Linked DNA regions of Daphnia pulex. The main gene of each other region encodes a partner of the protein of the gene in region 2 in a complex. Links are inferred from orthologs where the notes say so. Each region holds a gene or a part of one and is shown on either strand. Other genes may lie near its edges.

Evidence for each region. The genes of interacting proteins can lie anywhere in the genome.
Region 1: RNA polymerase-associated protein LEO1-like (region 2) and RNA polymerase-associated protein CTR9 homolog share a complex: the UniProt entries of both Caenorhabditis elegans proteins name them as parts of the PAF1 complex. The link is inferred for Daphnia pulex from reciprocal best matches to the Caenorhabditis elegans genes leo-1 and ctr-9.

Annotation. Positions count from the first base shown.
Region 1 is NC_060027.1:4,806,290-4,808,918, reverse strand, and holds the end of RNA polymerase-associated protein CTR9 homolog, read left to right. Parts: coding exon 1-203; intron 204-275; coding exon 276-728; intron 729-788; coding exon 789-1,031; intron 1,032-1,097; coding exon 1,098-1,456; intron 1,457-1,545; coding exon 1,546-2,041; 3' UTR 2,042-2,115; downstream 2,116-2,629. UniProt on the Caenorhabditis elegans protein: Component of the PAF1 complex which is a multifunctional complex involved in transcription initiation via genetic interactions with TATA-binding proteins, elongation and transcription-coupled histone modification.
Region 2 is NC_060024.1:10,088,284-10,092,678, reverse strand, and holds RNA polymerase-associated protein LEO1-like, read left to right. Parts: upstream 1-1,547; 5' UTR 1,548-1,653; coding exon 1,654-1,699; intron 1,700-1,759; coding exon 1,760-1,894; intron 1,895-1,950; coding exon 1,951-2,176; intron 2,177-2,244; coding exon 2,245-2,881; intron 2,882-2,953; coding exon 2,954-3,169; intron 3,170-3,259; coding exon 3,260-3,455; intron 3,456-3,530; coding exon 3,531-3,724; 3' UTR 3,725-3,850; downstream 3,851-4,395. UniProt on the Caenorhabditis elegans protein: Component of the PAF1 complex which is a multifunctional complex involved in transcription initiation via genetic interactions with TATA-binding proteins, elongation and transcription-coupled histone modification.

The DNA.
Region 1 (2,629 bases), on a different chromosome or scaffold from region 2:
TTGCGCTTGGTAACGTCTGGCTCCAAACTCTGCACGTACCTACAAGAGACAAGGAAAAGGAAAAACGACATCAAGACCGCGCACTTACACTGTACAAGACAGTTCTGAAGAACGACCATCGTAATATTTGGGCTGCGAATGGTATCGGTTGTGTGCTAGCTCACAAAGGCTGTATTCCTGAAGCACGTGATATCTTTGCATCAGTAAGTGAATTCTTGTGATTCCCCCTCGTTTATTTCACGTAATCGGAACAATTTTTTTTTTTTTTTTTTTAGGTTCGTGAAGCTACTGCCGATTTTTCTGATGTGTGGTTGAACATCGCTCATATCTATGTCGAGCAAAAGCAGTATGTTTCGGCCATTCAGATGTACGAAAACTGCATCCGCAAATTTTTTCGACATCCGCATGTTGAAATTCTTCAGTACTTGTCACGCGCACACTTTCGTGCCGGTAAACTCCGCGAAGCAAAACTATCCCTACTTAAAGCCCAGCACGTCGCTCCACACGATACGGTTCTCCTGTTTAACACGGCTCTCGTGCTGCAACGACTGGCAACCCAAATTCTCAAGGATGAGAAATCGGATCTGCAAACGGTGTTACAGGCTGTCAGTGAACTCCAGCTATCGCACAAATTCTTCCAGTGGCTTTCTGTCAATGGCGATCGCATGCGCTATGATTTGGCTTTTGCTGCTGCTGAAGCGAGACATTGTGGAGATCTTCTCTCTCAGGTAAATCGATCTTTTATCGTGTTAATTAAGCGTAGTTGTAAACTAAATTATTTTCCAAAGGCTCAATATCATGTGGCACGCGCTCGCAGTCTTGCAGAGGAAGAGAAGCGCATGAGGAAGAAACAGGAAGAAGAGAGAGAGGCGTTCCGTACGAAGCAGCGCGAGGAACAGCATAGACTTGAAGAAAGTCGTAGACAAGAGCAAGAGAAGCTACTCAAGTTGCGCGAAGAGTTCATTGAAAAAACGAAGAAAGCGACTCAATTTAACGAGATGCCATCAGAAAAAGCCGAAAAGGGCAAGAAGGTACTAAGACTTGATTATTCTAAATAGAGAAAACGTTTATAAATCTTCCCTTTTGTAATATTTTAGAGTCGCAAGAAGAAGGATGACGAAGATGGATTCGTTACGGACGGTAGTGATCGCATTCAAAGTGGCGATGAGGGTGCTGGTCCGCCATCAAAGAAACGTAAGGCAGAACGGAAACCGCGCCAGACTGAGACAAAGTCACGGAAGAAAGGAAAAAGCGGCGAAGAACGGGGACGAACGAAAGAGAAGAAAGGTCGAAGTGAAGGCAGAGGAGCCAAGAAGGGAAGTGGGAAAAAGTCATCTAACGATGTCGACGATGGGCTTAGTTCAAAGCAGAAAAGCAAAGTTGTATCTAAAGCCATTATTTCCTCCTCGGATGATGATTCGTCGGAAGAAGGTGGTAAACTGCGCATCGCTAGCGGGTGAGTAACATTTGAATTTCTAATAAAATCGATAGCTCCTAATAAGCAGAAGAATTTATTTCACCGACTACAATTACTTTTGTTTTCAGTGGAGAGGAAAGTGGTGGTGAAGGAGCTGGAACTAGCCGACGAAGGAGAATTGCTTCCGGATCAGAAAAGAGCTTCAGCGGTCGGTCTGTCTCTCGTTCTCCAGCAAAATCGCGATCTCCGTCGGGGTCTCGATCTGGTTCGGGTTCTCGTTCGGGATCAGGATCTCGTTCACGTTCACGTTCCTCTGGACGATCGAATTCAAGATCTAAATCGCGATCCAAATCCGGATCCAAATCGCGTTCGCGTTCAAATTCCCGATCGAAATCTAGGTCCAAATCCCGTTCCAAATCACGATCCAAATCACGATCCAAATCCCGCTCTAAATCCCGCTCTAAATCCCGCTCTGTCAGTCGATCATCCCGTTCTTCGCGTTCTTCTCGGTCGTCACGTTCCAGGTCAAAATCGAAATCCGGTTCACGTTCGCGGTCAACATCTCGCTCGAAATCTGGATCTCGTTCAAAAACACCAAAATCTGGCTCTGATGATTCGGATTGAAAACCTTTGTTCATGTAACACTAAAACCTTGAGAAATTCGACAAATAAACCTCTCCCTTTCTTTCGCAGTTTAATTACGAAACCGTTAAATTTTTTAAGGGTTTATTTAGATTTTTCAAATGCAAAATTCATCAACTGTCGTACGACACTGATTGAATGACAAATACAGTACAGAAAGAAAAATTAATAGTAAGTATAACGCGCCAAATATTCTGAAATTTAAAAATAAGTTATGCCGAACTTCCCGTATCATCATAAGGGAATGAATAATCAATATTGCACTCTGATACTCATTCAGCTTATCCAATATCCACCTTTCTTTTTTCATACACGAATAATTTAAATGTTTTGATTTTTAGCCTATTAGCGTCTCAGCAATCAAATTAAAAATTATTAGATTGAAATCTACATTTAAAAAATAAAATAGCTTGTCCAAGGATTTGAACCACTGACGAGGAACCTCGATGGGCTATTTCGTAAACTCCTCGAGGAAATTGAAATAATAGAAAATTATTAACATGAAAACTAGAAAATATTTTAGTATTTTAGATTAGAAATGATGAAAATTTTTCAATCATGCAAAATGAT
Region 2 (4,395 bases):
AATCAAACGGTCTCATTCAATCGTGTCCTGCTCACACCGCGTCTGTGCACTCTGCACAGAGAGGGCCTTGTACAACTGTTTGATCAAACCGCGGATGGACTGTTAGAGGAAGATGGAAGGGGGGGAGGAAATGTAAATAAATAAGGTGGAAGGGAGAGGAGAAAAGTTGATTGAGTTTTCGACGCCACCGCCGTAGATATACACGGTACATATAGATTTTTAACTCCACCCCATGTGTTATTTTAGGTCGGAGATGGAAAAGAAGAAAGACAAGGGTCACAGACGTGACAAGCTGGAGGGAGTCCCTGTGTATGCAACAATGACTGGCCTCGGGCCATCAACTTCTTCCTCGGGCATATTTCCGCCGTTCTCCGTTTACTTCTTACACACGCCTCGATTATTTACTCATTTCCCGGTGGTGGGATGACTTCTTCTTCTCTGTTTCAACTTGGTCTTCTTCACCACCACTCCTGGTGTGCCCCCAAAATGTCCCCGTGTCGTGATCCACTGAAACTTCCATTAAATCAAATTCTCCTCCTCTCCGTGGTTTAAAGTTTAGGAAAAAGAAAACCTAGGAGGGAAAATATATCTCATTTCCATAACTAGACGAAGCAAAACCTGATTAGAAGAAAAAACACATGCATTTCCAATCGATTTCGTTCGAAAACAACAATCATTAAGGTCCAGGCTTTCACCTGCTACTGGGAACAATAACAAATGACCCTTTCTCCAAATATACTTGATTTTATACCTCTAGATTTTGGAGACAAAAAGGAAAGGAGAGCTCTCCTTTTCCCCAATGAGACGACGACGACAAAAGGGAATCTATCGACGTTTGAGAAACTGTTGAAAACGTTTTCAACTCGATGGGCCACGAGCGAAACCGGTCCGGGTGACCTTCTCCATGACAGAAAAAACCCCAAACGGTTGTGTGTGTGTTGTTTCTCTTTTTGCTGATGGGTTTTTATTATTTTCTGCTGAGACAGGGGGGGGGGGCCGATACACGACACTCTCAAGTTGTTTGTGTGACAACAGCACTCGTGCTTCTTCCTTTTGACAACGAAATTTCTGATGATTCACACACTCTCAACTTTGGTCAAGATGAAACACACAAGAAAAACGGACGATTTGTCGCACTGCTTCCACAAAACTTGGAAATGTCTAAGACAACGAGGAGGACTGCTGATGTTTTGGCCAGGATCGTTGTTCTCTTAGGCCGAAGGAACACGACGACGACGACGATGCTCTTTTGCGCAGGTCTTATCTCGAAATAAAGTTTGCTTAACAACGAGGGCAGTGCACGCACTCACAAGATTTCGGGCTGCACACTCCCGATGTTTTCTTGTAACGAACTCCTCACCATCATCAAGACGACTGACTCGAGAACGGGCGGTCTCAGGCTCTCAGCTCAGGTCTTGAGGAGGAGGAGGGGGGTTTGAGCGTTGCCATCGGAGTGGGAGCCAAATTTATTTAATTGGCGTTCAGGGACGTACGAGACATCTAGCGGTTGCATTTTGAACTTTTATTTTTCGCTCACTTGAGTCGCCACCGTAGGCTTTCTAACAGACGAAGCTTTGAAATTCGGTGTGTGTTGTTTGCTTGATTTCATTCCGATTTCCTTTATTAAAAAAGAAGAAGAAAGTTTTGTCCATAATGGCGCCCTATAAAGACCAAGAATCTGAAAATTCTGGATCTGAAGGTACGAAAGGTTTGTGACTCAAAGTTGACATTTTCTTAACTCCGTTGTGTATTCTTGCAGATGATAAGTCCTCAGGTAGCGATTCCGACAGCAGCGGATCAGGGAGCAAGTCAGAAGCAGGTTCTGTACGTAGCCGACAATCAGCAGCTTCCAGATCAGGCAGTTCTTCTAGGTCTGCTCAAAGCCCAGATCAAGGTAAACAATTGTCTCAAAATTCATTTGACATTTAACATTACCCTCTATTGTTACAGCCAGGAGTAGAAGCGCCAGTGCTGAAAGTAGATCAGGAAGTGAAGTGAATGGTGATGGAGATTTGGTGCTGGATGAGAGAAAGAGTAGAAGTCGTAGTCAAAGCGGAAGTAGGAGCAGGAGTTCATCTAGCTCCAGCTCAGCAAGATCAGCCAGCCATCATTCTGATGAAGAAAAGGATGGCAAAGACACAGCTCAGTCATCCCCATCACATGAAGAGACTAAAAAGTAAATCTAATTTCCCCAAATTTCACATCAACCAACCTTTAATTCAACTTCAATTTTAATTCAACTAGGAAAATCAAGCGCATCATAGACAGCGATGCTGATTCGGCTTCAGATTCAGATGCCGGGGGTAAAAGTAGCAAAATGGCGAGCCCTACTGCCGAAGCCCTTTTCGGTGAAAATGTCGACATGTCATCTGAGGATGACGACGACGACGATGGCAACAAACCCACCCAAAAACTACCCGAGAAAGCCGCCAGTGAAGCTGATAGAGACAGCATTCCTGATCGTCGATCGCCCGATGAAATGGAACAGGATGATGAATTCGGAGGCCGTGATAACGAAAAGGAAAAGGAACCAGAAGAGCCCGTTCCAGAGACGAGAATTGAGCATGAGCTGCCATACATCCGGGCTGACGTAGGCAGTGAGTTCCACTTTGTCAAGCTGCCCAATTTCTTGTCGGTTGAGCCGCGACCTTATGACCCCGAAACCTACGAAGACGAGCTGGAAGAAGAGGAGACCCTCGACGAAGAAGGTCGAGCCCGCCTCAAACTCAAAGTTGAAAACACAATCAGATGGCGAACGGCTTTTGATAAAGAGGGAAACGCCTTCAAGCAAAGTAATGCCCGGATGGTTAAATGGTCAGACGGCTCACTTTCCCTCCATCTTGGCTCTGAAATTTTCGATGTTTACCGACAACCCCTGCAGGTAAATTATAATTATCCAATTCTTTCTCAACGAGATGCCTATTAACAATCCTCATTTGTCTGGTCTATTTAGGGAGATTACAATCATTTGTTCATTCGGCAAGGTACTGGTCTACAGGGCCAGGCTGTCTTCCGCACCAAGTTGACTTTCCGACCTCACTCCACCGATTCATTCACCCATCGAAAGATGACCAAGTCTCTTGCCGAGCGTTCCACCAAGACGTCTTCTATTAAGATCATTGGGGTTTTCGGTGCGGATCCTGAGGCCAACCGCGGAGAGAAGATCAAGGTAATACTACTAATATTACACTACTACTTGTTATTTTGTTGATGAAAAATATTAACCGTGCCGTCAAATGGTTGACCGGTTTGCTTGCAGAAAGAGGAGGAACGGTTGAGAGCTTCAGTGAGACGCGAGTCGAAACAAAAACGCGTCCGTGAACGAACAGCTACCGGCCGTGGCATGAGTGGTGGTTACTTGGAGCCCGATCGCGAAGGCTACGAAGACTCTGAAGATGAAGGTGGAATCTCTCTGACAGCGATTAAAAATAAGTACAAACGGGGAGGACCTCGAGGTAAACGTTTCTGTACTTTTATTTTATGTTCCTCGCTAATTGTTATAATGAACTCCGTGTTTGCTCGGTTATTAGATGCATCACATCAAAGACCACCCATCTATTCTTCTGAAGAAGATGCTTCAGACATAGAAGACCGTAAAGCGAAGAAACTGGAACGTGCCAAAGCACTGCCGGATGAAGATGATAACGACGATGATGATGAGGCAGGTGGCAGTGGAAGTAAGGTGAGAGTAGTATCCAGCAGCAGCGAAGAGGACAGCGATTAAATATAGAAATAATTACAATTGGTTTGTTGTGTATTTTTTTTTTTCAATTTGTTTCTTTCATTTGATCGTTGCCCAATTTGGGGCTGGACCTATGTGCGGAAGGGCGGAATACATTCGTTTTCACAATTTTGAAATAATAATTTTTTCTGGTCAACAAATCGTTCGTTAGGTATGATATATGGCGAAGCTGAGAAGATGAAACGAAGATGGGGAGTGGTCAAAGCTTTGAATTGTATAAGACAATGTCGAATTAGTAGCATAAAACACTGAGAAGCGATACTGTCACGTAATTGGCTGTACATAAAATTGCACTTAGTATTAAATGGAGTATCATTAATTTGTAGAGGGAAAAGAGTTCTGGTCAACGAGTTAGATTAGTGTTACAAGGCTTTCGTAATGTACAGAAGAAGAAGAAGGAATCAAGGACCGCATTTCAGGAAGACGGACATCATCATGTCACAGTCACTGTCGGTGCCTGCCTAGAAGCTGCGTCTTCAATAGGAACGGCCGTGTCATAACCTCCTTTGCTCTGCATGTGATTTTGCAAGGCTACTAAATGCCTTGAACCCATGGCTACGTCACTTGAGCCTATATGAGCAGTATGTTGAAAATTTTGTGGCAAACCGATCATGGAACGATCAATTGGTGGTCTTCGTCTCCGCTTTAAATTT